4 linked regions of the Pelodiscus sinensis genome follow. The protein of the gene in region 4 binds, or shares a complex with, the protein of the main gene of each other region. Links are inferred from orthologs where the notes say so. Each region holds a gene or a part of one and is shown on either strand. Other genes may lie near its edges. The genes, in order: FGA, F2RL2, SERPINE2 and F2.

Region 1 (7,075 bases), on a different chromosome or scaffold from region 4:
GAACCAGACAGACAATAAAATGCAGAAGAGACTCAAGAGGGAAACGCCGGTGATGAAGTGGTGAGACTTGTGTTCATGTGTACGTGTGTGAATTTTTCAAGCTACCTCATAACCAAAGAGAATTTTGTCAGTTTGCTGTGTGACTGTTCATTCAATAAAAATGCCCCTTTTTAAAAAGAGAAAGCCAAACTATCAAAAGAATCAAATAAAGTAAAATCATACCCAGGCTATGCTGAGGCACAGCCACATGCACAAGATCCTCAGCGGTATCATCTTCAGTGGCAGGGTGAGGAGGAGTCTGACAGAAAGGATACGTTCCACTTGTTTTTTTTGCTTCATTTTAAACCTTCATGGATAGCTTAGATTAATCATTATGTTCCCTTCTGTTTGCAGAGTTACATGCAACCCACCCCCAGTTGGTTACCTGAGGCCTCTTGCACAAGCGCCTGAGTTTGTTTGCTCTAGATAAATTTGTGCAATGCCAGTCGGGGGTGGAAGTGGAGGGAGTGGGAGGAAGGAACACACATTCCAGGAAAGTCTACAGCTTTAGTTTCTGATAACTAAATTTTGGAATAACATGCATGTAAAAGATCCAATAATACTTAACCACTGGAAGATATCTATGTTGTAAATCTGGTATTTAAATAGCATGACTAAGCAGTCAAAAAATCACCAAATTGTTCCTACTTGTATGATCACACTCCATGGACATCAAGTCAGAGAGACTACTTAGTGCAGTAAAAGAAGCAAGATCATAGTCTAATAATTGTTAATTCAAGAACTATATGGTCATCAAAATAAACCAGTTACTGAGAGATATTTTTATGGAAGACCCATGCTCAGCTCTGCCAATTTCATGATTCTGTGTCAGTCTCAGACAACATTCACTCTGAAGTCAAATAAAGCCAGAAGTCATCTCCTATAGGGCAGACCCAACAAAGAAAGCAACAGAACACCACTAGCCATTATCTACAACCCCCAACTAAAACTTCTCCTTCACATCATCAATAAACTACAACCTATCAGAGATGATGATCCCTCACTCTCACAGACGTTGGGAGGTTGGCCAGTCCTCACTTACAGACAGCCCCCCGAGCAGAGGCAAATATTCACCAACTTCACACCCCACAACAGAAACACTAATCTAGGAACCTATCCCTGAAACAAACCCCATTGCCAATTCTATCCACACATTTATCCTAGTGACACCATCAGAAAACCTAACAACATCAGCTATACCATCAAAGGCTCATTCACGTGCATATCTACTAATGTGATATATGCCATCATGTGCCAACAATGCCATGTATATTGGACAAACCAGACAGTCTCTACAGATGTTAAAGAGTGCTATTCACACATTTTTATAATTGAACTGTGTTTGGTTAGTATGAAATACATTTGTCCCAGGGTTTATGTTCTTTGGACACTAAAATATAATTAAAAATTAAAAAGAAAAGAAAACTTCAGTATGAAATGCTTTACATGGTTTTCAACTTGCACTAGTAGATGTAAGAAATATGACTGAGTAAATCTTCCTTGAGTAAGCATCCCGTGTCCTGTTTTCCACTTTATTCCTTTGAAATAAACATTGATTTATAAACATCAATTGTACAGCAGCTTGGTGCCTCTACATAGCTGGGAGCAGAAACAGAGGATAAAGCTGTTTTCTAATGACACTTGCTTGTATGTAGACCATGCACTTTAAGGTCCAGGCACTTCTAAAGGAAAATGTGAAGAACAGAAAATATAAGAACAGTCCTATATTATGAGATAGGATTTGGTGGTAGTAGGGTTATTTCTCTCAAGTCATTTTTTTTTCTTCTGGGGAAACAGGGATTGGTTTAGTCTTGTTTAATATCACTGATTTAATGGCAATATAGTGCATACTTTCATAATTTTAATGAAGTGAGTGCTTTAGCATAGGAGAAATATTTTTAGAATGAACACACCCTACCTAAAATCCTATGACATGGTGACAATTTCAATTATATCAATATGTTTGATCATACCATTATACAAGAAACTAGTTAAACGAATAACCTGGTAACACAAAAAGTTCTTTCAACATATCTTTTTATTCAAAATGTGTTAGTCTATGAAGGTTCCGTTGCATTATTAAAGAGCTTTGGTTGTCAGGCAAAAGAAAATATGTTTGTGATGGGTCAGGAGGGACACCCTTCAGATTGTCACCTGACGTGCTGAGACACCACTGAGTCTGTTTCCTCTGACAGCCTGGACACCCTATAACCCTCTTTTGTTGAGCTTAGCTCTTGGCCTGCTTCAGTTGAGACACAGGGACAGGGCAAAACCCCAACGCTGCAGACACAGTCTGAAAGCAGTACAGTATGGGTGCATCTACACTGCACCCTTAACTCAAAATGAACTACGCAATCTGAGCTACACACATTGCATAGCTTATTTCAAGTTAATTTCAAAATATCTTATTTTGTAATTTGGCGTTGTCTACACAATGCCAAATTTTGTAATAAACTACTATTCTGAAACATCCCTTAATCCTCATGAAATGAGGTTTTCAAGGACGTCAGAATAGTGAGCCCGTTAGATTTCAAAATAACACAGAATAGCTGTTTTGGGGATACCGGAGGTATCCTGAAATAGCGTCACAGTGTAGACGTACCCTGTGAGACCTTTCCACAGCAATCAAGTATACAGTCCCTCTGAGATCTAAACTAAATCTGTCTTAGGCTGTGTAGAGATATATACAGTGTAAGCTAATGACATTCGCCCTCTTTCTCAAGGTAAAGAGAGATATGCACAGGTTCCTTCCCCCTCCTCTGATAGTAATTATTTTCACTAGGTTAATTGCAGACGGAACAAAGTAGATAACTGAGCAAAATAAACAAACATGCAGGCTAAGATAAATTCAGTAAACAAACTAATTATATGTAAGATCTCACCCTAAATGTGGTTCAAATAGTCTTCCCTCACAGGCCAGGCACCCTTCTAGCCTGGGCCCAATCATTCCCTCAGTTCATACTTAGTTGTTTCCAACAGTTATCTTGGTTGAGGTAGCCAGGGAGGACTGAAAACTAAGATTACCTCACTCCCCACCCTTAAATAGGATTTAAGGTGGGAGTCCTTTGTTTCAAGTTTGACTCACACCCAGCTTCTCATGGAAAAGTACAGAAATCAATATGGGTTCCAGTATTTTGTAGGCAGTATTCCAGCAGGCAGCCTGGCTCTTACTACATTTAAACTGCAGAGCTGCAGGGTGAGTAGTTCTGGGACCTGGCGCAAGCCGGGACTGCTTCAGTCCCAGCTCATGCTGAGTCCAGACTGCTGCAACTCTGCCTTTCAAATGTAGTGAGAGCTGCTTGGATCCGACGCGAGCAAGGACTACTTCAGTCCTGGCTTGCACCGGATCCCGTGCTGCACCTCTGTGGCTCTTACTATATTTAAAAGGCAGAGCTGCAGGGCCACTGTGCCTCTGCTTCCCCACCTCTGCCCCCGCCCCTCCCCGCACTGCAGAGACAGTGCTAGGGGAAACCGGCTTTTAAGCCAGATCTCACCAGTACTGGCTCCTGCTCCCTCCCAGATATAGAGGCAGCAAGGGGGGGAGGGATGCAAGTAGCCTAGGCTTATTGGGTAGTTGACTATTCTACTACTCTTTTATATCCCTATCCTAGGCTATTTATTCCAGTGCTTAACCACCCTGAAGATTAGGAAGTTTTTCCTAATGTCCAATCTATACCTCCCTTGCTGCAATTTAAGACCATTGCTTCTTGTCCTATTATCAGACACTGAGGAGACTAATTTTTCTCTTTGTAACATCCTTTTAGGAACTTGAAAGATTCTATCATGTGCCCTCTCAGTCCTCTCTTTTCCAAACTGAACAAATCCTGTCCTTTCAGTCTTCCCTCATAGGTCATGTTTTCTAGACCTTTAATTATTTTTGTTGATCTTCTCTGGACCTTCTCCAGTTTCTCCACATCTTTCCTGAAATGTGGTGCCCAGAACTTGACACAATACTCCAGATGAGGCTTAGTCAGCACAGAGTAGAGCGGAAGAATGACTTCTCATATCCTGCTTACAATACTTCCATTACATGTCTCTGCAGCCATTCTTCATGATCTGACTCTCATGTTCCAGAAAGCTCTTTTACAGTTCATTGTCTCTTGCTGATGAGCCATCAGCACTATGACCTCTTTCATTGTTGTACCTGAAGCGTCAGCAGTGCGTAACACCCAAAGCAGTAAATATGAAATTACAGATACCCAGGTCAATATTCCTAACTTAATCTACAAAAATGATACATATGTACAAATGGGGATAATCAGTAAATTATAGCCTTTCCAATAACATTTTACACAAGCCATCTTGCATTCAGCATATCTGAGTTATGATATATCTGAGTTATGGCATATTCATATCATATGCATATTTCATATGCTTTTACTGGTTCACCTTTCTTTACTTTTTTTTTAGGGCTCTGAAATCTTATAGACTTCTGTTATTAAAATCTGGTCCATGTGGAGGTTGCTAAAGAATTAATAAGGATGGTTCTTCAGTTCACATGAAATTGTATATTGATCAGAGACATGAGCATACTTTAAATACTGGCAGAGTTTATAGATTCTGATGGTGAACAACTGTGCTTGTGGTATTTATAAACTTCATTGGCTGAACCTCCCTACTGGATTAAAGAACAGGCTATGTCTCAGGCTATGTCTACACTCCTGGGGGACGGGAGGGAGGGTTCGGAAAAAGGTATGCAAATTGCAAACCGCAATTTGCATACATTTTTCCGATTCTTTTTTCGGAAGAGGCTTTTCCAGCATTTGGCCCCGTGTAGATGGGGCCAAATGTCTGAAAAAACTCCTTTTTCAGAAGAGCCCGTGTTCCTCATAAAATGAGGAATACAGAGCCTCCAAAAGAGCACGTCTGCTCTTCTGAAATTTTTTTTGGAAGAGCCGACGCATTCCCTGGATGCAGCAGATTTTTTTCTCCATAGCATAGACATAGCCTCAGAGGCAGGCTGAGCCCAGGAATGAGGTTGATTCTGGAGGGAAGTTTGAGTGAGCACTGAGGGGTAGGACTCACAGGCAAAGGAGAGTGGGGAGGGGACATTGCAGGGGCCAGAAGATGTGAGTTGAGGGCTGTGGGAGAAGAGCTGCAAGAAAACTGGAGAATTGCCAACGTTATGAAGTTCTTGAAACAGAGGCATAGGAATTGCACCAGAAAGACTGTTGACCATTGGTAGGCATCTTGGACATGGTGACCCTGGAGTGGAGGGCTGAATGGTTGCCACATTTTAACCTGCTTTACTTCAGGTTGAAATTTGTCTGATACACTATGTCTGGAAGCAGACCTAGTGTTGGACTCCAAGAAGGACAACACCCTTTGCCTGGGTTAGTGAAGTGATCATCAAGCTGATCCATGGTGAAGAAAATGTGCAAAACAAATCCCTGTTGTCTTTCTTTCTGTTTGATTTATTATTTTTAAATTAATTGGGTCCTAATGCTACATCTGGTAAAATTATCTATTGAAGTGTAGTCTGTAGATAAGAGTAATATGATTAAATAGTCTTTTATAGCTTCAGCAGTGAATGTGTAAAATGATCCTTAAACTGGAGTTTCATAAATTTCAGGTCAGTCTATAATGATTGTATTGGCAGATTACTTCAGAAAAATATATGTAAGGATCCTCATGCATAAACATGACATCACATATAAATAGACTCCTTAGGCCTAGATCTGTAAAGGCATTTTGGCATTATTGTGCTTGGTGTTGCAACATCTAACTGATTAAGGACCTAAACCATATTTTCAAAACAATATAGGCACTTAGAGATGCAAATCCCACAGACTAAAAATCGGATTTTGGCCCCTAAATCCATTTTGAAAATGAGAGTTAGGCTGTGAAATGAATGAGGTATTGCAATGCTGGGCACAGCAATTCTAAAATACCATTAAAATTATGGACCTTATCTTCTAACTTCAGCATGATATGATTAATGGTGCACTCTCACTTTGAATCCTCTTCAGTTTTGTTCCTTCTGTCTCAGAAGTAACATAACAACACTAGAATAGAAAAGACATAGAGAAAAGCAAAATAGTTAAAGCCAGGAAAGAAAACACTAAAAGGATTTTGACAATTTGATGTCAAGAACTGATAAATAGAGGCCTTATCCAAAATCCATTGAGGTCCATGGAGTCTCCAAGGCAATATCTAGACTACATGCCTCTTTTGAAAAAGAGCATCTAGACTGCAACCACTTCTTTAGAAAAAGCGAGCTGCTTTTTCGAAAGAGAGCACCCAGGCAGTCTGGATGCTCTCTTTTGAAAAAGCTCTGTTTGCATTCAATAATGCCTTTTTTCAAAAGAGCACTTTTGAAAAAAGGTGTTATTCCTCATAAAATGAGGTTTACCACAGTTGAAAAAACCACCGCATTCTTTCAATTTAATTTCGAAATAACACACCGGCAGTCTAGACGCAGGGGAAGTTTTTTAGAAAAAAAGGCCACTCTTTCTGAAAAAACCCTGTAGTCTAGACACACCCCAATTGTCTTCAGTGAGGTCTGGATTCGGCTCAGAGACCACAATACAGAGAAAAATTCATAAAAATACACAAAATAAAACTTATGTGCAAAGATCTCTAAGGCTGCAAAACAAAGCACTCAATAATTTTTAGAGAAACATCATTCAGATAGCCTGTGCAGTCTTCATTTGGCGGCTCCTTTGTGAGTTTGCATTAAGATATAGTCTTTAACTATCTGATCACATGCTATTTGCCCCCTCCCCTCCTCCTCTTGCAGCATGCCAGCCTCATTCGGTATGCAGAACTGACAGGGCTCAAGAGCTCATATTTGATATTTTTTTATCCTCATCATTCAGTGCATGGCTCTGCTCTTTTTTATAGCACACTTTTCAAATCCTCATGGGCTTTCTTGTGGGACTCATCCGTACAGTAAATGAGTGCTTCAAAAACTTAAAGGCAACCGCAATTTGCGTATCTTTTTCTGCTTTTCTTCCGAAAGAGGCTTTTCCGACATATGGCCTGTCTACATGGGGCCAAATGTCAGGAAAAAACCCTCTTTCAGAACATCCCTTCT
Region 2 (7,968 bases), on a different chromosome or scaffold from region 4:
TTAACTTTCAATATTGAGCCATTTGACTTCCCTGAAGAGCATTTATGTTCTTTGTTGTGAACAGTCTTTGTCCAGCCTTGTATATCAGAAATGGGAATATAATCGTAAGTGCCTTGTGGTATTCCACGAAAGGTCTTAATATCAGGCACATCTTGACTTGCAGAGCTGTTACGACCGTATTTAGATTCTAAGATTTAAAAAAAGAAAATAGCTAAAATACAAGGTATTTACTTGGGACAGTCATGATGCAGATCTCCCTCTCCCCCTTCTCTCCTCTCTCCGCCTCCCCTGCCCCCGAGAAATAAATACTGTAACTTTAATCTGAAGAATGATTCTATAAAAATGGCTTTGTGGGGTATTGTCTCTGATTTCTATATCACATGGTCAGGAAAACCCCTCATAATTTTATTTATAAATGGACTCTCAGCCCTGAATATGCCACTGGATTTTTCCTATTTTTAAGAATAGCCATAATTCTGCTAGCAAAAACTACAGGTGTATCTTTTTCAATTTGCTAAACCATGCTGATAGTGCGCAGAGAGAGACTAGATTTCTTGATTCATGTGACCTCAAATGTATTGGCTCAGCAGTGCAAACAGGAATAAAATAGTGGCTTTTGTCACTTAAACAAGTACATATAACTATGCAAAAGGCAAATATGTTTAAGATGGTGCCATTTTACATACACATTTTTCAAATTAGAACTACACTTAGAAACATTTACACTTTTATCTTTGAATACCTATATAACTTCCAAAACCCTTGTCCTCATCCTCTTTTTAAATAAATTAATAAAGCTAGCTTCTTCGGCTTTTTACTTTTTGACCAGATTCCCTCCTGTTAGCATGAAGAAACCATGATACAATTCATTACACTTTTGTAGCTTTGCAGAATTGTATTCAAAAGTAAACATTCTCATACTAGTCAAAGATTAATGGGTATATTTAGCCTCTTCTAATAATGTCAACAACCCTGGTAATGGTGATCAGAGAATTTTGTAAAGGCATATCCATAGCAAAAATATTCAGCCTTGTATATGCACCTTTTTGAATGTCTAGGAACATTTTGTTCTCGAAACATGTCAGCTAAATTCTTTAAAATATCAATCATTGCAAACCAGCAATGATCCTACTTTGCACCTATATTGCATCTTTCACTTGGAATTTGTGGCCATAATGAAGTTTTTGCTGTTAATCAACTATATAATAAAATCCTAGCTCCAAAATTCTGAACAAAATGTAAGGTATAGAGCAGTCCTGTATGAATCTTTGAATCCTAGTACTTTTTTATACTAACTTGACATAACTAATTTCTTCTGGATTAAAAATAAATTACAGGAAATGATACTTATGCCCAAACATTACAAACAATTAGAATGGGCAGCCATGACGGTGTATGCATAGGAAGTGGATTTGAGTAAGACTTCCCCACCCCTGTGGTAAACCTTTTTTTGTGGCAGGAGCCACTGACCCACAGAAAAATCAGTCAGGGTCCGTGCACAAGTTAGAGACACTCTCCACGTTTTTCTCCCACATCAGAGCCTGGAGGGAGGGGAGGGGTCCAGCCTCGAAGATTTGGTGTGCCTCAACCCCACGGTGGGGAAGCAGAGGGGCTGGAGTGTCAGCGCAGGCTCCCCACTTCTGGGGGAGCCCTGAGCCTCAGAGTCTGGATGAAGGTCCCCGGGCCTGAGGTTCCCCACCCCTGCTTTATCATTTTTAGTCAAATCTCTGGTCCTGACTTCCCTTTAAAGAGACTTATGTATCAGTGTATGTTTAAATAAATTCAAAAGCAATTTATCTCTGAAAATGACTAGTTCTGCTCCCACTGAAATCATTGTCTTTTTCCCCACAAATTCTAGTGACACTCTGATTGGGCCCAATGTTTTGGATTTGTAATCCCCTTCCATCCCCCCCAGGTATTTGATACAAATTTGCCCCATCAGCTGAGTTTTTTCCTTTTAGTGGCACCTTCTACGAAGCATTAATCCTGTATTTATGATTTCCTCTTTCTATGCACAGGCTGCGATTCCACAGATTCAGTACAGTGACATCCCTATAGGAACAAGCACTGTAGTAGAAGGTAGATTATGCAGAAAACCACATTTCAGTAAACACAAAACCAGTTAGTTGCCTTTTATCAATTAGCAAAACTATCAAGGGTCACTGGGGAGAAATAAAAGATAAATGAAGTAGAGAAATCAAAATCTGTCTCAGCTGGGACTTTGTATGCTGTGTATCAGCTGTTGGGGTATTATAACTGACATAAGCATCTAAAAGATAAGCCCAATGCTCATGATATAAGCTAAAATATACAGACAATATAAAATACATCTAGAACCAGAAGCTTACCTTTTTTCTGTAGACTTGAGGACAGAGACAGCAATCCAGTTATTACTAAAACCAATATTTTCATTGTTGCAGGTTAAATCCAGTTGGCAAAATGTCTCTCTAATTCAGTTGAAAATGTTTTGTAATCCACATCTTTTAATAAAACCCTGTGGTTTTTAGGTCTGCCGTCCAGAAGCATTCCACGATCATACTTAACTAGTTTTCTCAAGTACAGCAATAGGGTGTGACATCTGAATATGTAAATACACATGACTCAGTTTCACCCTCTGGCTGACATAAAGCAATTTAATCTCTTCTAATGTCTGTAATTTAACTCCTAATTTACCATGACGTTTTTTAGTCTTTCTGCTTTATTTGAATTTATACATGAAAATATTCAGAAGAAAATATTGGTGCTTAAAATCTTCAGAGACCGCATTTGATACCTGATGTTCTCAATCAAAGATTAGAACCCTGTTGTGCTATTATGTAGTAAAAAGAAAGTCCATGTCCTAGAAGCTTACAGACTTAATTACAACAGGGAACAACGGCATTGCAGGATAGGGAGTACTAGATAACAATAATACAAGCATGTTTCACTCAGGCTGGGTCTAGACTGCAGGCTTCTTTCAGAACTTTTATTCTGAAGAGGTCTTCTGAAAAAAAATTCTTCCAAAAGAGAGAGCGCGTTCATGTTGTACCAATAAAAGCAAGCAGGATCTTATGAGGGGGGATAAGGCAAAAAGCCACATTTATTGGAAAGATAATTTATTTATTTATATATATACACACACACACACACACACACACACACACACACACACACACACACACACACACACACACACACACACACACACACACATTCATCCAATCATTCAGGTTATAGTTACCAACCTGGAAGTTGCTTGTGACAGAATACTGGCCAGGTATTCTGTACACAAGTGATGGTAGTGGGGAGCGAAGTCCTGATCAGATGCGCATCTGAAGCTCCTGGTGGACTGGCAGCAGAATTTTGGACTCTGACTCCATAGTCTTTTGGTCCAATCTTTACAGGAATTTCTTCCTATTCCAGTCTATGGGAATTGCTGCATCATGCTGATGTCTTCAGGGTGGCTGCCAGGTGCTTGTCAGTGATCTCATAGGGTGGACCTCCAGTCTCCAGTTTTTCTCCACTTGACACCTTTTGGTTGCACTGGCACCTGATGCCTTCTTCAGCCCTTTGATGCTGCATTCTCAGGCTGGCACCTCTCAAACCATTCATTCATTGTCCAAGCACTCTCTCTTACATACATTCCCTAATTAATGTTTCACATACAGTATTTTGTATAATAATAATTTTACATGTACAAGAGTTGTAGTTACAAAAAGTTACAAAAGTTTCTGGGTGGCATTTCTTAAAACATTCTTTGATTGCTGAGTTAGTTACTGTTATAGTTACAATGTTTCACTTTGCGATTAGGGTTAATTGCTTTACAATGCTTTGAAGAGAAGGCCCTTAGTCAATTACAGGGCTTGGCTCCCAGAGCAGAGTAGTTAGTGTCTTGACAAGCAGCCACTTGCAAAAGTTTGTGTGCGCCCTGGGACACAGAGAGGGGAGCTGTTTTTGGCTACATAGTATTATATTTTTAACAGTTTTAAGTTGCATGACCTAATATTACATTCCTAACAAATTATATTCTAGAGGGGCAATAATTATAAATCTAAACATTTAACAATCTTAACTAATAATAATAATAATAAATCTAAACACTTATCAAGCTTGATAACACTAAATCTAAGCACTTTAACAAGAATAAATCTAAACACTTTTATATGCTTCTTCTACTTAACAAACTTATACTACTTAGACTTTTAGTTGTGGGGAACAAATTATGGGGAGTCACTTCCACTTGGGGGAATCATTTTTAATACTTTAATATGTTATCCCTACATTCGCACCCAAAGCGCATTGAAAAAGCAATCTGCTTTTTCGAGGGATAGCGTCCACACTGAATGGATGCTATTTCACATTTAAGCTATGATTATTATGGACAGAGTGGCCACAAGGGCATCTGTGTTTTTTCCTCTTTCCTCCTCTTTCAAAAGAGCTCCCTCATCCCCGTCCACATACGCCTTTTTCTGAAAGAGCTTTTTCGGAAAAGGCTTCTTCCTCAAAGAGGATTACCAATGCCGGAAAAAACCCTTTGTTCTTTTGACTTACTTTCGGAAGAACACAATTACTGCGTGGACTTAACTCAGGTTTTGTTAGAAAAATGGCTGTTTTTCCGACAAAACTCTGCAGTGTAAACATACCCCCAGACTCTCAGCGCTCCATTCTAGCTTGTCATCGGCCCAGTAGTCATCAGTTGACATTGTGTACTATAGGCTGTCGTTCATGTCCCATCTGCTTTGTTTAAGCAGTTCCTACTCATGAACGAACAAACATTATTTTTTTAAAGCTTCCTGTGTGTCACATGACAGCTTTCAGCAGGCAACTGCAAAATGCTGTGCAATGTTGGTTGCCACCTATCTTACTGGTAAGGTTAAGTGAACAAATTATCATCTGGCCCAGGAGTTGTATGTTTACCAGCACTATAATTCTTGAGGAAAATTGCAACCATGGGAATTATATTCCAGTCCTTACTCCCCAATCCCAAGGTTCTAGCTGAAATTCAGTGACCCTTAATACTGACTCATCATTCAATAGTACTCTTTTAAGCAATGTAATTTTCATTTGTAATAGCTGCAGCATACACCTCCTAATGAGTCTGAGGTATAGTTGATTCTCTAAGGCATTTGTATTCAGAAATCTTTGTCCTTCATAGCTTGTGCCTAACATTACAGTTCGTAGGAAGTAAAGTGTACTATGAGTTAATTAAAAGTTTGTTTGGTTCAAAAATCGTTGAACTGGATGCTGGAATTAAAATACTGAGACTAATGTGAGATTGTTGTAATTTTATAAAGAAAAAAGCAAACAGCAATGCATTCTACAAGCTTACAGTTGTTTTTGCTGTAAAATTTCATAACAAACTTGTGGTGGAGAAGAAGAGAAAAACATTACAGTAACTAAACGAGAGGTTGATTTTTTTTTTTTCTTCTGCCATTTAAGGATTTTTCACTATCAGTTTATTCTGTTCTCTATTATCAGCATCAAATACACTTCACGATAAGAAAATTCATGTATAACTGCCAATCAAAAACATACATATGTTGCGCATGGATAGATGTCTTGTCACACTTACCACACAAATATGTTTCACATTTATAACAAAAGAGCTTTCACACAGCCTATTTCCTCTCTTTACTGTTATGTCTGCTTTTCACATACAGTTGTTAATAGGTGTGGACTTCGATTCCTGCACACTGAAGCTATTTAAATACCCCCTACAGCAATCTTCCCTGCAGTACCATCTACCGCTTTTTAAGCTGATCACTGGCAGGAGTATCCTCTCGCATTTCTGCTTCTCTTGTACCCAAAACTTAAGATGTGCATGCTAGAAATTGGGTGAAACACACCATCCTAGATTTTCCGTGCACAGTTACTTTGGTGATGAATGCACTAAGAACACCTTAATTGAGTTTAACTTCAGTCTGATCTTGGTAAGATCTCCTCTTTTGTGCCCATAATTCTGTGTTAAATCGTGTCTGCTGTTTCAGTTTGTCTGTGTATTTAGGCATTTAAACCTCCAAATGCCGTAAGCTTGGACTGCAAATGGGGGTGCACAAAAGAAGTGTATTGCATACGAGGTAAAATTTGATAACTGGTAGATTTTAATGAAAAATGCCTGCCCTCGTCCTTAATTCATGTTCTCAAACAATTCAGGAAACTAAAGCAATTTTGGCATTACTAAATCTGAGCTTTCTTTCTATAAAGTTCATACTGACAATTTTTTAGGTCTTCTTTTTTTTTATTTATTCTTTTTTTTTTTTTTTTTTTTTTTTGTCTGCACATATACATGGTTTCCAGTTAACTATTCTTTCAAAGCTCTTAACTTTTTTTGTAAACTTCTTTTGGATTTATGCTGTCCTTGGGGAAATCATATTGTTGTCTAGTGGTCTTACTGAATTCTTCTGTTCCTTTGTTGATTGGTGAATTATGGATATTGAATTGTCTTTAACTTTATTCAGAAATCTACATCTTTCTTTGGTGGAATAAAAATGATCCGAGCTTTCAGATGTTAAATGATACTTTGCATTTTGTTATGAAAAATAGATTAATTTTTTTCTTTTATTTGTATTAATTGCCAGATTCATATAGCCAAATTCTCTTTAGTATCCCCTCAGGCTTTCAGAAGAGCTTTCTATTTATTTATTGATGCTTTAATAGTGTGTATTTTCAGATTGACTTGTGTTTTCTGTTCTGTAAATATTTTTCTATTAATCTGCCCCAGGGATCACATGATGAATCACCAGTTCTCTGGCTGGATGAAATACAAAAAGGAATCAACGATGCTAATAGGAATATAGAAAAAGCAGCAAATTGTAAGTATCAACCTGAATCTACATGGAAATTGCATTTTTTTTCACAATAAAGAGAAGATTTCTAACTTTCTTTATTCATATACAATTTAGTATGTTGGACAAGTTAGTTAATAGGGGGAAAATATCCTATTTTCATTAAAGAAAGATTCAGGGTAATTAAAATAAGATTTAAATGTAAAATAATTTAATTAGCTCTCAAACTGTTGTCCTTGTGTTTTATTTAGGAATTTTGACTATCTCTATTGCCTGAAATGATATAACAGATTTCAAATGCCAATACATATTCAGAGCCGGTGAAATACTGTGTATTAATTTCCCTTGTATAGATATGAAAATAGATTCAATGAGACTAATTGAAGCAAATGGTAAGACTTTGTTTGACAAGTTTGTGTGTAGTAATGGAAAACACTTGTAAGGAGTCCTGTACATAAGTCTGAAATCCTGACCTGTGTTGCAACCTGAATTCCTACATGGTCACAGCCTTGATTAGTCAGATTTCTGATTTCCAAACAATGACTCTTAACAAATACCAGTAAATACTCCAACTTAATCATTTGCCCTTAATTTTTCAAATTATTTTCAAGTTTTTTTGTTGTTGGTGGTGGTGGTGAAATGACAATTCAGAATGAAACAGCTTGCTTACTATCTATAAGAAGATAGTAGTTATGCTATTGAACCCAGGATATGTACAATGTCAGAACTTTTTTAAAAGACTGAATATAAACAAATCTGAAGATTTTATAAATATGCAAACTGTACAGGAATTCCAAATCAAGAATGCTGTGTAGTAGTTAAAGATTCAGCTGGAGACAAACATTGGTTTTCTGACACACCGTGGGAGAAAAGCTGTGACGTCTTGAAGAGGCTTTTTATTTACTGTCTTTGGTCTGAAAGTGCTGGAATTTTTTTAATTGAAGCGTGTATCTCTTGGTTATGTGAAACGCACTTTAATCACTATTTGGCACAGTAAATCCCTTACATTCCAACTTCCCCCGCCTAAGAATTAAATGGCATTTTAAAGTAAAATTTTCATATTTTAGGTAATTTGTCAATATTTTTGTCTAATACCTATAGTATTTTGACTTGCTTCATAGGCTTGCTTTACTCTGATTTATCCTGTACTTCTGTGGTTGATATAAGTACAGGTTAAACCTCTCTAGTCCAGCACGCTTGGGAA
Region 3 (7,599 bases), on a different chromosome or scaffold from region 4:
CCTCGCCCACAGATATAAAGCAGATATCCACAGATCTGCACGGCTCTAAAGATAAGGAACAAAAGTTCTAGTTAACTACAATTTGCTATTCAGATATATACTCAGTCTTTCTTTTGTATTTCATTAAGAAAGTAGTATCGTTTACCCAACTCCAGACAAGAAATCCTGGTCATCTTCCTCGCTGTATTTCTCCACCACCAGTTAGTTGTTAACTAACAAGTTAATAAATGTATTGTCGCCTTTGCCAAAAGAAAAGTTACTCCAGACATAACAAAAACAAAACATCCCCCCACCCCACACACACATACTTTGAGATTCAGATTAAATTGGGCCTGAAAAGGTCTTCCTGGACCACAAGAAGACACTATTCTTTAACTGGCTGAAGAAGTTGGTATTGATTAAATTAGACTAATCCATCCATCACTAGATTGGACCAACAACCTCTTGTAGTGCTGGGAGTGAGATCTGGCACTAAATAGCTCTAGGACTTATCTTTAAATTAACTCACAGGGCCTAGAGCTATTTGATTCTTGGGAGTTTGGTTAAAAAACTAAGCTGACGCTATATACTTAAACAAAAAAATAAAGCAGTCAGAAGTACCCCAGTCATGCAGCAGCTTCCTTTTGTTACTATTGTTTCTGTAACATGGGGTGGCATTAAATACACTAGAAAAGACAGATCAGGCTGATCTAGACCAGTGTTTCTCAATCTTTTTTTTTATAAAGTAGCTTTTTTTTTTTTTTTTTTTTTAAAAAAGGTAAGTACCCCCCAGTACCATAATTTGCAGACAGAATTTTTTTTCTACCATTGCAACATATTTGTTTAAACAACTTAACTGTAGCAGGGCAGGTGATGAAATTTTTGGGTGTAAAAAGTACAAATATAATAAAGCACTGTAAAATTTAAAACAAAAATTCAGTTTTCTCCAAATTTCAGTTATGTTGACGTGCCCCCCAGACTTCTCTCGAATACCCCTACTTGCACCACTGGTTGAGAAACACTGATCTAGGCAATTGAACCACATAATATTTAGAACTTGCATGGTGCTTTAAATTTTCAAATATAAGCCAAATTTCAATTTTTGTTGAAAGCTTATGTTAATACTTCCTCCTATGATCAGTTAGTTGATGTTGGTGGGAGCTATCAAAATTATAATTGCCAATAAATATTCCATGTAGAAGATTTTCCACATATGTACTCTCCAGAACAGTGAACAAAATTTCTCTAGAGAATTTGGACAATTCTATACAGAACAGGAGGTCATAAATCTTTAAGAACAAAAGCCACACAACAAAGATCCTGTCTGTTAGAAGGATAAATATCATATGGCATTTTTCATAAGATCAAGGATTTGTTCTTGTGTTACTGGCTCAAGATTTCCCCTGTGCATCAGTTGATTAGTGCCCTCCACCAAAGAAGTGGCTGTCCAGCACTTCAACTGTATGCATTCAATTTGTTTAAATTCTTTTTAGAGAAAAAAAATCTTAATTATTGTTTTTAACATACAGATAGATATTTAATAAATATTAACAAATAAAAATAACATTTAAAATGATTTTTAGACGTGTATTAAAGAATAACAACACGGTTGGAAACATTCAGTTTTTATCCAGTCGATCATTAGTGGCATATACAGTATGCCCATAAATTAACATCAACTTTATTTTATTAGGGTGTTATCCTGCTAGACTAGAACAGTTTCCTATATATGCCCAGCTCAGATTCTCATCTATTTCCAAGTATAATCAGAAAGAATGTTTCTCGCCTTCTTATACCTCAGAGTTCCCTGTCCTCTCATTTTTCTATTTTAAGCTTTGTAATTCTTCTTTTTATTGATCATGATAATGTTCTGAAGACACAGTACATGCTACAGTATAAAGCTGCATTGTAAGATTGGTTATCAAGTGTTAATCCAATAGCTCCCTCTCTTGCCCTTTCCTAAAGGGGTCCTCTTTGTGTCCTCCTTACATCTGTAGAAGGCCAGTATAGCCACATTTGCTTTAGTGGGAGTCAGCGAAAAGAGAATCAAGTCCGGTCTTTTATGGCCCTCCTTATTGTCAGTATTTTGATATTAACAACACCACAAATATTCAGTAGTGTCCACTCTAGTTTCTTTAGGAGCAATTTCCCACTGTTTCCACAATGACAGTAGCCACAGTAGGTGTCATCTAAACTAAGTGCCCTAGGTCGTGTTTTAATCCCTTGCCACTGTTAGGCACAGGACAGGTGGTGGTGATGCAGCAGCACCTCCTGGCTGGAAGTGGCTTCCATCAAACACGGGGTTGCAGTTTGGGTCAATGGCTCTCCACACCTGCACCACAAAAACCGTCCAGCGCCCCTGTGCGAGGCCACCGAGGTGACAAAAAGCGCAGGTAGCTTGCACGCACCTGGCCTACACCCGGGCGCCCACTGGCGCTACCCTCCGTGGGGCGGACCTGGCCTTGGCTGAGTGCAGACGGGGGCTCCGGCACGGATGCCCCAGGACAGGGAGGGGGAAGTACCGCTGGAGCAAGACTCAGCCGCTCTGTAGCGCCAGCCGCCCTGCACGAGCCGGGGCGGTCACCGGGGTGGGCAGTGGGGGAGGGGAAGGGAAGACAGCCGGCCCCCCGCCACCGGAGGGCAGGCGATAGGCAGCGCGGGGCCGGATGCCTCAGTCCCGAGGCCTCGGGGACCCAAGGGGAGAACAAGACCGCGCCCCGGGGCAGGAAGTCAGGGGACCCCAGGCACCGGGGGGCGCCGGCTGCCAGAAGACGGGGAACGGCTGGGCGCGGCCCCAGGGCACGGAGAGCTAGCAGCGGACGCCGTCCGGAACCCCCGCACTCACACAAGGGACGGGGGGCGGCCCGCCCGGGTCCCCACACCGGGCTCTCACCTGCTCTCCCTGTTGCTAGCGCCCGGTGCAACCCAGGCTCCGCCGCGGCGATCCCGGTCCCTTTAAATCTCCTCAGCAACTGAGCGCCGCGGCTGCCGCGCTCGGCTTTTATCCCCGCCCGGCGGAACTCCGCCCCCATCCTGCCTTCTCGGGAAGACCCAATCCCGCCGAGAGCCCGCCCCGTCCCAAACCACGCCCTCCCTGCTAGACCCCGCCCAATCCGGTCCTTCTGAAAACCCAACGCCTTGCCCCAACCAACCGTCTTTCGCCTACCCTAGCCCCCCCCCCCCCCTTCTGAGGGAAACCCCACCCGCAGCCCCAGCCCCAGCCTCATCTGGTCCACACGTGGCCCTCACAGTACCCTTCCCTCTCTGAGTTCTTCCTTTCTGAAACAGATCCTGACACCTGTTCCCCTCCCAAATCTCTATTTTGGGACACCCCCAAACCTTCCCATAAAATATCCCCCTCGGCCCCCCACCGCCTCTATTGCCACCCAAAAATAGCCTCCCCCTTGTGGCTTGCCCCAAATTCCCCCTCCCAGTGCCATATTAAAATGATCCTGAACACACCTACCAGTCACTTTTAACCTTTTTGTGGTAGCTAGCGCAGGAGCCACCATTGCTGGTTTGGGGAGGCTAGGACCACACCCTTCACCTGACTACATCTGACCTGTAGGAGGGCTTTGGTATCCATACACCCCATTTGAAGGTTCCAGTTCACATCACTCAAATAGAAACACGATATGGAGTCAGCAGCAGCTCTACTCCACACTAGAGCAGCCAGTGGGTTTCAGAACATAAAACCCTATGTCCTTGTCCACCCCTCAGCAAACTCTAGTTCTTCCCCACCTGGCAGAACTCCGCCCCTATCCTGCCTTCTCGGGAAGACCCAATCCCACCGAGAGCCCGCCCCATCCCAAACCACGCCCTCCCTGCTAGACCCCGCCCAATCCGGTCCTTCTGAAAACCCAACGCCTTGCCCCAACCAACCGTCTTTCGCCTACCCTAGCCCCCCCCTTCTGAGGGAAACCCCACCCGCAGCCCCAGCCCGTCTCATCTGGTCCACATGTGGCCCTGCACTTTTTGTCACCTCTGTGGCCTCGCACAGGGGCATTTGACAGTTTTTGTAGTGCAGTACTTCTTACAGTATAGTAAGAAGGGGCAGAGAGATTAAGCACATGGGCAATATGGGAGTTCTGCAATCTAAACCTCAAAAATCCCTTACAATTACTAGGAAAAGTTTGAAAATAAATTGTAATAAAATGAAGAAACTTTAGGAGGTAAAACCTTCATCAGTGCCCTAGTCTGTTTTCCTCCCCTACCCATGACATGGTTTGTCATACAGAGAACACCCACCCATCTTTTCCAAAATCCTCATTCCCTGCTCCACATTCTTCACCGTCTTGCCTGTGTGAAAGGTTGCTCATCTTTACCTCAGATTCACCAGTCCACCTATCTAGGAGAACTCCAACCTGAAAACACTCCTCACTCCACTTCTGTACTAAACTCCCCCATCTCAGCCTCAGATAATCCTCCTTGCTGTTGGATTGTTCCCAACTATTCCCCTCTTGCCTTATTAACTCCCTTACTTCTATTTGCAGGTAAAATTATCATTTCCCCTCCCACACCTTTTAGTCCAGCAGTGAATAAATTAATGAAGCACACACACATACATTTTCTATGTACTGTTGCTGTTGTCTTGTCAGTCTCAGATTATTAGACAAGGTAGGTGAGGTAGTATTTTTATTGGACCAATTTCAGTTGGTAAGACAAGCTGTAGAGTTTACTCAGTTTGAAAACAGATCTGAAGAAGAGCTCTGTGCACAGTCCAAAGCTTGTGTCTTTCACCAACAGAAGTTGGTCCAATAAAAGATATTGCCTCACCCACCTCATCTCAAATTTACACTAGGAAATTTCGAAATAAGTTATTTTGAAATAGTAACTCCCAAAATAACTATTTCAAAATAGTGTGTCCACTATTGAAGTAGCAGAAGTGGAGTGTCCACACTACCACTATTTCAAAATAATTATTTAAAAATAAGTTTCAGGAGGCAGCTGAGTTAGTCTGTAAGTTTAAAAATAAGTGTTATTCCTCATGGAAAGCAGGAGTTATTATTTCAAAATAACCAGCCCATTTTGAAATAACGGGCTTGGTAATGTGAATGTTCCACTTGTTATTTTGAAATAAGGTAGCTATTTCTAAATAAACGCCCTAATCTAAACTAGGGCACACATACACTTTGTATGGGTTCAATCTCATGTTGTTCTGTCACGGGGCAACTGTCACTACCTGGAGCTGGCTGATTTTCTGTTTTGAGGGGGCTTTGGCCTTTCTCTTACAGTGTGATGCCATCTATGGCACCATGACAAGGAGGAAGTATTATGCTGGGAAACACACATTAATCTTAACATTGGCTGACAGCCCTGTTGAGCTTGACAGCCTTGTTAATACCACTTGGGTCTTTGGCAAGCTAAACAAATAATCATTTTATGAGACTGGTAGAGTGTAGCAGTCATGTTTACATATTAGAGCTGTTTAAAAGTTACACTTTTTTTTTTTCATTTTGCAGGCACAGCAAAGGAGATTCTGCCCAGCAAAAAAGGGACAATGGTGTAAACCATCTTTACACCATTGGGTTTTTGTATTCACAACCCTGCATAAACTACAACAGCCAGGAGGATGCTTTAATTTATGGCAGCCTCCTCAGGGCAGCTCATGGACTGTTGCACAATCTGGAGCACCCCAGAATCTCTGCAGCAATGTGCGCTATGGAGAATTTTCCTGTCCCTCTCTGTTGTGCCCTCAGTTCCAGAACAACTGAGTAAATGGCCAGTGGAAAGGCAATATGGACTGGGATTTGGGGACCAGTAGCGGATATAGGGCAGGGCAAGCGGTGCTGGGATCCACGCTTCAAGAAGCCCCGCGCATGTGCCGTGGCGTCACCGTGCATGTGCCGTGTCAAAGGGGGGCCCCGAGAAATTGTGCTGCCCTGGGCCCCACAAAATCCTCACCTCCCCCTGTTGGGGACAGATAATGTTCCATAATGTTTTGCTTTATTAGCTTTGGCAGTATCTTCCAAAATGGGTATTTTTGAAAGCTTTCAATACAAATGCTCTTCCCCCTCTGAAAAATGTGCACACTTTAGTGACATTGTCTGCAAATATTGACCCATTTTTGAGTTTAAAGCAAAATTTTAAAACCCCTTGAATTTCAAATAGTTTGGCATTTGTCATACAGTGATTCTCAAACTCTTTTTTCATGTAGACCAAATGTTAATGTAAAGTTTGATTCATGGATGCGTTCCCTCCTTCCATGGGTGATCCCCCTCATCTTCCATTCATGATTGCATAGCATACATATGACAAGTATAGAAAACTAAGGTTACATCTAGACTGCAGGCTTCTTTCGGAAGAAGCTTTTCTGGAAGAGATCTTCTGAAAAGCTTTGTCCAAAAGATAGCGTCCACACTGAATGGACACTATCTTGCATTCCAGCTGTGATTACTATGGACGGATTGGCCATCAGGGCACCTGTGCTTTTTCCTCTTTCCTATTCTTTTGGAAGAAGCTCTTCTTCCCTGTCCACACACGCCTTTTTCCAAAAGAGCTCTTCCTCGTGGAAAGGGGTTTACCAATGTCGGAAAAACCCCTCTGTTCTTTCGATTTTTTTTTTTTGAAAGAACACAATTGCAGTGTGGACAGAAGTGAAGTTTTGTCAGGAAAACAGCCATTCTTCCAAAAAAAACCCTCTGGTGTACACACAGCCTAATATTAGGAATGTATTTTTAACAACACTTTAATGTGATTTAGCTTCTGGGAATAAGGCTAAGAAGCCAGAACCAAGTGACTGACCAGCTGTATGGACCATTAGGAAGCGTCCCCTATTCTCTGAAGACTCAAACCAAAACTGCACCTTTAAATATTCTCAACCTTTGGCAAAGTTTGAATCGGAATCCAAATTTTACACTTGAGGTCTGCTTAAATACAGATTGTTGACACAACCAAGAGTGTTTCAACCAAATTATCCTGAAATGGTTTTAAGTTGTATTTATAACGCTGCTTGCTGTAAACAAAGGCTTGGAATTATGCTGCTAGAAAGCAGCCTTGTTCCTTCCCCTTTCTGGTTGCCATAGTGCACAGTCAATATAAGATCAGGTACCAGAGGGCAGCAGCCTCCAGCCCAGATAAGTAATCACTATTTTTCTAATAAACTAATGGTCTTACATAATTGTACTAGTACCTATTATAAAGTAAATTATTAACACTTGTACAGGCATGTAAAGAAAATATCATGCATCACTCCTGTCACTTATTTTGTATTAGCACTGATTGATTTTGCATGTAAGCTAAAATTAATGAGCCATATCCTACGGGCCTTACTTAAGCAAAATCTCCAGTGACTTCAATAGAAGTTTTCTTTAGAAAGGATGACAAGATTTGGCCCTGAATTTGCATGTAGGTCTGAATTGAATATATATCTTGTTATTTGAATTCAATCATATGAAAGATACTTATGTGCACCAAAATTTTACATAAACAAATAATAGAAAACTTCATGCTCATATCTAATGTGTTACAAGGCTATATTTAGAACCAGATATCAATTCTTTATTAAAGTAAAAAATGCTTTAACTCCCTTATCTTCACCATAAAAATAAAAGTAAAAAAGTATCAGTGGTTACAATGAGAAGACTAATGAACTGGATTTGAACTGATGCAGGAGTCACG
Region 4 (7,479 bases):
CTGACAGCCCCCCTCCCCCCCCCCCCATGGACTTCCTGGATGGCAGCCTGCAGAAAGTGCAGCCAGGCTCACAGCAACACATCCAAGAGAAACATCAGAGTGCCCAGGGACAGCTCCAGCTCCATGTTTCAGAGTGTTGTGGTGTCCCGAGTGAGGGCAGCCAGAGCATGCAGAGACAAAATGCTTTGCTGTTCCTCTTCGAGGTAGGCAAGCAAGCAGGGAAACCTGAGCTCTGGCTGTCCAGAGGGGGTCCCTTTAAGCACAGACCTCAGATAGCCTCAGGCAGCAGCCACACAAAGTAAATCCTGACCTGATGCCCTGCCGGACCTGGTTCCAGCTGGCCTTAAATGCGATTTAGCATCCACTCAGTGTAGACACGCTATGTTGAAATAGCAAAACGCTATTTCGAAATGCATTGTATGTGTAGACGCATTATTTCAAAATAAGCTATTTCGAATTAACTATTTCAAAATAGCTTATTTCGAAATAATGCTGTAGTGTAGACATACCCACAGGGAATGGAAGAAGCTCAGCAGAACCTATCCAGTCCACCCTGAGGCCCGGTACAGGATTAACCTGCCTGCAACCTATGAGCTTAGGCTGTGATCAGTCCTCGATGTCCCACCGGATAAGCATGCACCCCTGCCCTGTACATTTACTTTGGCAAGGCCACTCATCTAGTTCACTACTGAGCCAAAGCTTGTCTACTTGGAGCATCAACTCACTGTCTTTGTGGTGCCACAAAGACACTGGTTTTCTCACTCAAGCGTGACTTTCTGTAACCCCATCTAGGTGGGATATGTTGGAAAAAATCATTTCATCTGCCTGTTCAGAGACCCCGACTTCCAAACTAGCTTCAGTCTTCTCTCATTCCTCTGCATAGCAGTGGAGCTGAGGAGACAGTCAGGAGATCCTGTCCGATGGGACCCTGCCCCACATCAGGGGGAGACAGGACGGAGGAAGCAGAAGCACTAATGCGGAACAAAGGAGGCGCACCAGACACCAGGACACGTCATATTGTATATGTTTGGTGTGAAATAGGGCCTAGCCTGTCCTAAATGTGTTGCTCTGAGAGCCAGAGGGGCAAGGGCAAAGTGGAGAACAGCTGTCTCCCCTGCCCCGCGCCCCCATGCCCCCCTCCACCTCCAGATAACACTCGTCACCAGGAGAAAGAATGTTCCCGGCCCATGAAACTCCATATGTGGCCAATACAAGGCACAGCACTGATTAAGATACTGCCCCCCACCCAAGTTCTTTCATGCTCCAAGACAAGGGGCTTTAGATGTCATAATAAGGATGATCCAACAAAATCCAATGAGCTGTAGCAGGCAACAATTCTACCCACCGAACTCCATCCAGCTCTTCCCTCGAACCTGGGAACTGCTGCTTCTCCTTACACAGCAATAGGGAAGCCCTATGCTGCCCACCTCCCACCCACCCATTTTTTAGCATGTAAAACTTACTGTCTAGCTGGAACAAACCGCTGGCTATTCCAGGGACCTTCAACCTTTCACAGGCTTCCCCTTCCAGCTGCAGCTTAGGAATGAACAGTCCCATTTGTTTTTCTCAGCCTCCTACCACCCTGCCCTTCCCTCCCCTCAATACCCAAGGAGTCCTTACCACTGTCATGGCTCAGTCCAAGGTGCAGGAGGCAGAAAAGGAGCAGGCTGCCCAGCACTCGGACTCTGCTGTGCCTCATGGTATATGCTCCCGCAGCAGGGAAAATGAAGAGGGTGCAGGACAAGAGAAGTCCCAGCCCTGCCTGGGTTAATGTTGAACCAACATGAAGAAACAGGATCCAGGAGGTCACAGTGTGTCAGGGCCAGTGGGGCTGAAGCTCCTGCTGTGCCTCCTGTGCTTGGCTTCTCTCCCTCCCCTTCGTGCATTTTCACTTTCAACCATTTTACTGATCCGAGCAGCACAACACCACAAGAACAACACTAGCTTGCTCTGACAGTGTGGTCATGACCACCACACTGGGGGCAGGTCAAACACGAGAGACTGCAGCCTCAACTGCGGGGAGGCCAGGGTCAGCACATGACAGGAAAGCAGAAGCAGACAGAAAAAGAAGGATGCTCCCAGACTACCCAGCAGCAGAGCCAGGAAAGCCCAGCCCACTTTGGAGTTAACATTGTTGAAACAGCTCCTTATTTTTCTCCCAAGCCATCTTAGCTCCCATCTTGCCCCATTGCTATTGGTTCTGTCACATGGGCTATGTCTACACTATGAGCTACCGATGTGATTCCCAACACACACACACACACACACACACACACACACACACACACACGCTCATTAAGAGTAGTGTGAGTATAAATAGTTGGGTGGCCATAGTAGCACAGGTAGTGGCAGCTTGGCACAGAATACTTGTGCTGAATACTTGCCCAATGGGTTCAGATGGATTTGTACTCAGGACAGCTGAGCCATGCATATGTGATCTGGGAATCAGCTGCCTATCTCAGAGTAGACACAGCCATAGCCTCATGTACAACTCCTCCCCTCACATCCAGGCAGACACCTAATCCTCCTGTTCCTTCCTCTCTGCTCTGCCCTGGTCATCTTAGATTATTGAAGCCTCCTCCTCTCTGGTCTCCCCAATACTCCCCCCTTCCCCCCCCCACACACACTCTTCCACTCCATCCAAAATACAACTGCTAAGATTCTCTTCCTTATTCATCAGTCCCAAATTATCCCCCACTAACTCCCTTTTACCATCACATCAAGTTTACACTTTTTATCCTTGCCTCTGATGTCCTATACTACTCCATCATGTTTTCAGGCTGGATTTCCTCTTAGCCCCCTTCTCACTCACTCTTCTCCTTGTGGCCCCTTGCACATGAAACAATCCCACAATCCCCCGGTGGTAGGCCCCCCAGCTCTCCTCTTCCAAACCCCTCACTAAAATAATGTACGAGATCAGGAATCAGGATGAAGATGACCTACCCCTATGCTTGTCCTCTCCTCTGAGCTTGCTGGGCATTGCATCATGATGTCCTCAGAGTAGGGACTGATCCCTATAGAAATTTAACACAAAGACAGTGCTTTAAGGAAGGGAACTTTCTCCCAGCCCTTCTCCATGCCTTAGTTACAGTCTACCATTCAGGATTCCATTTTTTCCCTCCTCTCTGAGCACCATAACTGGTGGTCTGCCAGAGAAACCAGCTCCTCTCCCCTCCCCCTCCCAATCACCAAAGAGAACAGGGGGAGGGAGAAGGAGGTTAGCAGCTGCTACTACAGCCCATTGGAATTCTTTCCAATTACTTTAATAAAGCTATTCCAAATCCCTTCTCCCACAAAAGGGCAAAGAGGGCAGTGCTGGAGGCCCCTTTTACCCTACACAATTAGGATGGTACTAAAAAAGATGAAACCAAAAAGAAAAAAAGATGAAACTAATCTGCCGAGCAAGAAACTAGGCAGATGGACAGATAAGCCCTGGGCCTAGAGACATGGGGGAGGAGGCTGCTGAGAACAGGAAGGCAGGATTAACCTGGGATTTGTGAAATCAAAATGACTAATGAACCCAATAAAGGTCTAGTGCTTCATATAGCGCATTAAAGAATAGCAATGTGGCCATCACCAGCGTGAGCTTCCTCAGAGCAGGGCCAACATGGAGCAAGCTCAGAGCACAGAGAACAGGGTTGCTAGAGCCTAGGGGACAGTGGCTCAATACGACATTCTTTGCTATATCCCGCTGCATTCACGGAGCATTTTTCTGGTCCATGCATTAATATATCTTCTAACTAGTGTTTACCTACATGGGGGAGTGCAAATATTAGTATTGGGACAGCCAAAGAAATGGCTCTTTGGCTAGGGGTACAAAGAGCACTTACATAGGCTCCCTCCCCCACCTGAGAACAGGGGTTACAGGAAGAAGCAAGTCACACCTGGGGTGTTTGGGATAACCCCCTAGGATTCTCTTAGGAAACAGCTGAGGTGCCCTAGGTCAGGAATGTTGTATGATGGGTCAGAGATCAGCCTGGAAACAAGATGTATTAGAGAGAGAACAGCAAAACATTAGAGAGAGAAATGAAGTGGGGCTGGAGAAGGGAGGAGGATGTATGGAAAGGAGAATCCACACTATTGGGACAGCTAGGAAAACAGAGCCATGAACTACAGCCAGAGTCTCTTGCACAGAGGGAGGGGTTAATGACACTAGCACTTTCCAAGTCACAGCCAGGAGCAGGAGGGTCTTGCCCAGCTGATTAACAGCAGGTCAGAGGGAGGCAGAGGATATTGCAAGGACCTAGGCTTAGCCCTTGTGCTCTTCTACAGTCCCTACCTTGACAAACCAGTTTGATTTTTAGGCCTGAGCTACAGGACTGCAGTGGCCTCAGGACTCCTATCACTGAGGAAGGGTGGTCTGGCCTGACTAGATGGGAAAGCAGAGCCCCCAGGCTATCAGCTCACACCACAGCATTGGAGGAGGGCTAAAGTATCTCTATATTTCAGCTACACCACTCAGTTGTCTTGCTTATGGTCTCCTGCCTTACTAGAAGAAAGCAGGCAACTGGGGTCAACACAGGGAATAAAAGAGGCTGAAAACCAGGGGAAAGGACACTGCAGGACTCCTGCAACTGTACCTCAGTCCCCAGGAACCATAGCAGGGGAGAAATGCCCGGATCACAAAGGGTGATCTCTGTTTCATTAAGGTCACTTTGTAACTGTGTCAATATTTGCCAACGCAGAGAGCTGGGCCAGTCACCCAGAGTCAGGAGTGGGAACATCCTGAACCAATCATTCTAGTTTCAAAAACAACCTCCATTCACACAGTTTAGCAGCAGCACTGGGCCTAGCTGCACCCTATTTTCATAACAAAAAAACATAGTAGCATGAGCTTTCGTGGGTAAAACCCACTTCTTTTATCTATGAAAGCTCATCATACATTTTTGTTAGTCTCCAAGGTGCCACAGGATTACTCATTTTTAAAGTTACAGACTAACAGGGCTACCCCTCTGAGCCTATTTTCATAAGGACTATTGAATAAGGGTGCATCCAGCCGTGATAAGGTGCCAGCAAAGCATTTGAGATGGGCTCTCCTGTCATCTTATTCAACATTAATTCAAACTGGCTTGGATCCGGAATCATTGCCTGGCCTAAAAACTGGCTAAAAGCTCTTAAATTAAGGGGAATGATACATGACAAAGGAATGAAGTACAGGAAAGGATTTAAAGAGGAGAGCCACAAGAAGCAGTAGCAGCAGTCTGGTCTTCCTACTGCTTTAGTAACATTCCAAAATGGGAAGTAAAAATACTAACGACATTCTTGGTAGTAATCGGTTACATGGTCCAATGTGCTAGTTGGAGATGTAGGAGTAGGGAGGGAAGGGTGCTAGAGGGCTCCCAGATCTCCACCCCCATGGGGCTGCCAGCTCCCACGCTCCCTAGCAGAGTTTAACTGTTAATGGGAACCAATAAGCATCAGTTTATCAGTTAATTGGTTAACCTCTTACATCCCTAATTATTGGGTGAGTGTAAATAGGAAGAAACTGGACACCTATCAGAATAATCCTAAGGGACTGTAAATGGGCAGGCCTGTTCTGTAGAGCCACTTGCAGACCAAGCTTGGCTCTACAGCTCCTTGCCTCAGGGTCCGTTCACTGTCCACAGCACTTATGTCCAGTAACAAACCCTCTTCTTAGGGTCTGCTTTAACATAAAACCTACTCACAGTAAGGACTCTCCTATCCTTGTCTCCCACTGGGCACAGCCCTACATCTCTCAAGCCCACCTGTCACCAAGCTCTCTACCAGGCTCTATTCAGTCTTCTCCCTTGAAGTCAGGGTGTGGTACTGGCCCCTTTCTTGGGCCTGTATTTACTGGATTCTCAGGTGGCTCCTCCAGGAGCTTCCAAGCAGCTTCCTTCCTGAGCCTTCTCAGCAGCTCAGTTTGCTTATGTGCACAGTAATGGTCCCTGAATCCTCCTGAGAGATCTTGATGAAACTCTCATGGAGGTATCATGCAATGCTCTCCTGGAGTTTCTTACTTCTTCCTCTGCAGTAGGACATTCTCCACACTACTCACGGAGAACTTCGGCAGATACCATGCAGTGCACAGGCTAACAACATAGGGTCTAGGCAGCTTTGGAACACCAGCAGCAGTGCACTGTGCCTTTGTAACATTCAGGAGTGAGATATCAACTAAAAGCACCATTGCCTGCAGAAAATGGTGCCACCTTTTAGGGTCATTGCCCTACACTCCAGTGCCATGTAGTGGAGTAATTCCCTCCCCATTTCCTTCACCTCTGGCAGCCCACACTTTCCAGGGCTGGTGCTGTGAGTGGTGCCACACCTGAGCTCTCCCAAGCAGAAGTGTCAATGAGCACGTCTTGGTTAAAGGTTACAGGGAGCAAAAGAAGGGCATTCTGAATCAAGTTTTGCTTTCTGTTATGATTAGACTGACAATGGTACCTCTGTGTGCTGCTTATCTGCAGCTGCTGCCTTGAAGAGGTCCTTCTCCACACAGGATGCCTGGGCCAGATAAGGATGAGAAAGAAGAGTCAGTATAACATGTTCAATGAGATTCTGCAACCCAGTGCTGCATCAGACCATCTGGGCATGGAGGGTGAAAACTATAGGCAGCCTAGAGAAGGAAAGAGCAGACAGGAGAAAGGTTCAGGAGTCTGAACAGGAAAAGGAGAGAGAAATGCACCATGACATAACAGGACTTCCATGGCAGCAAATACAGATGCTGCAGACCCTTGTGGACCTACAGGTTCAGCTGTTATGCGCTTGTCTCCTTTTTCCATCCATGGAGAACTCCACCACAGCACCTCCCTTCACACACACTCCAACATTCCACGTAATGGCAGAGGAAACATATTTACCCCTGCCACTCAACCACAAGGTAAGGATTTTTGTAAATGGTGAGCCAGTTAAATGATAGTACTTGACTGGTTAACTATTGTAACCAGGGTCCCACTGCAGCCATGAGGTCCTACCACCCACCCCATCAGCCCTGCTGCCACTGGAGTTAACTGGCAAGAGCTGTTTAACCTGTCAGCATTCCTACATAAGGACATTAAGGACAACAGCAGTTTCACATACACCAACCTGTGAAAGCCCTATGTAACTAAAATGGATAGGAAAGTTCTTAAGTTCTTTCTCTGTAAGTTCCTTTCCATTAATTTAGTAAATTTTAATGTATTTTCTTTGTATTAAGTTAGAGATTTGTTTGTGCACTGGTTTTGTTAGAGTAAAATTCTATTATTTGGAAAATAATTCATCACTATTAGTTCACAACACTGCTGCAGTGCCTAGCACTTGTGAAAATATCACTCATCACTGTACTACAGTATGACAGCTCATTGGATCAGTGACAAAGTATAATATTAATAAATACCAGAAACTGCTAATTTAAAAGGTACAGAGATAGTATTGGTGTATACCAAGTACCAGATAATTCCTAACAGGCCCCAAAATATCAGGGGCAGGTAGAGAAAAAATATACCACAGCGCATTACTGTGGCTAACTTTTAAAGTGCT

The links.
Region 1: the proteins of F2 (region 4) and FGA are in contact, whole or in part, in a crystal structure (PDB 2A45), measured with the Homo sapiens proteins. The link is inferred for Pelodiscus sinensis from reciprocal best matches to the Homo sapiens genes F2 and FGA. Residues at the interface, in NP_000497.1 of Homo sapiens: Phe382, Lys384, Ser385, Gln387, Leu423, Arg425, Tyr434, Glu439, Lys440, Ile441, Ser442, Met443, Lys470; in NP_000499.1 of Homo sapiens: Trp52, Pro53, Phe54, Cys55, Ser56, Asp57, Glu58.
Region 2: the proteins of F2 (region 4) and F2RL2 are in contact, whole or in part, in a crystal structure (PDB 2PUX), measured with the Mus musculus proteins. The link is inferred for Pelodiscus sinensis from reciprocal best matches to the Homo sapiens genes F2 and F2RL2. Residues at the interface, in NP_034298.1 of Mus musculus: Phe379, Gln384, Glu385, Leu386, Leu420, Arg422, Arg428, Thr429, Arg430, Tyr431, Arg433, Lys437, Ile438, Ser439, Met440, Lys467, Pro470; in NP_034300.3 of Mus musculus: Thr46, Phe47, Glu48, Glu49, Phe50, Pro51, Asp54, Ile55, Glu56.
Region 3: the proteins of F2 (region 4) and SERPINE2 are in contact, whole or in part, in a crystal structure (PDB 4DY7), measured with the Homo sapiens proteins. The link is inferred for Pelodiscus sinensis from reciprocal best matches to the Homo sapiens genes F2 and SERPINE2. Residues at the interface, in NP_000497.1 of Homo sapiens: His406, Tyr410, Pro412, Trp413, Trp455, Arg456, Glu457, Asn458, Leu459, Glu509, Thr510, Ile542, Asp562, Ala563, Cys564, Glu565, Trp590, Gly591, Glu592, Gly593, Cys594; in NP_006207.1 of Homo sapiens: Val225, Arg288, Ser355, Ala356, Thr358, Thr359, Ala360, Leu362, Ile363, Ala364, Arg365, Ser366, Ser367.

The regions. Positions count from the first base shown.
Region 1 is NC_134715.1:56,885,654-56,892,728, forward strand, and holds the start of FGA (fibrinogen alpha chain), read right to left. Parts: upstream 3,002-7,075; 5' UTR 2,987-3,001; coding exon 2,922-2,986; intron 347-2,921; coding exon 223-346; intron 1-222. UniProt on the Homo sapiens protein: Cleaved by the protease thrombin to yield monomers which, together with fibrinogen beta (FGB) and fibrinogen gamma (FGG), polymerize to form an insoluble fibrin matrix. Fibrin has a major function in hemostasis as one of the primary components of blood clots.
Region 2 is NC_134716.1:85,336,811-85,344,778, forward strand, and holds the start of F2RL2 (proteinase-activated receptor 3), read right to left. Parts: upstream 3,019-7,968; 5' UTR 2,413-3,018; coding exon 2,349-2,412; intron 188-2,348; coding exon 1-187. Other genes in the region: ras GTPase-activating-like protein IQGAP2, read left to right, coding at 6,701-6,791. UniProt on the Homo sapiens protein: Receptor for activated thrombin coupled to G proteins that stimulate phosphoinositide hydrolysis.
Region 3 is NC_134720.1:16,707,831-16,715,429, forward strand, and holds the start of SERPINE2 (glia-derived nexin), read right to left. Parts: upstream 3,005-7,599; 5' UTR 2,873-3,004; intron 46-2,872; 5' UTR 1-45. UniProt on the Homo sapiens protein: Serine protease inhibitor with activity toward thrombin, trypsin, and urokinase. Promotes neurite extension by inhibiting thrombin. Binds heparin.
Region 4 is NC_134714.1:84,406,367-84,413,845, reverse strand, and holds the start of F2 (prothrombin), read right to left. Parts: upstream 3,004-7,479; 5' UTR 2,989-3,003; coding exon 2,944-2,988; intron 1,763-2,943; coding exon 1,621-1,762; intron 1-1,620. UniProt on the Homo sapiens protein: Thrombin, which cleaves bonds after Arg and Lys, converts fibrinogen to fibrin and activates factors V, VII, VIII, XIII, and, in complex with thrombomodulin, protein C. Functions in blood homeostasis, inflammation and wound healing.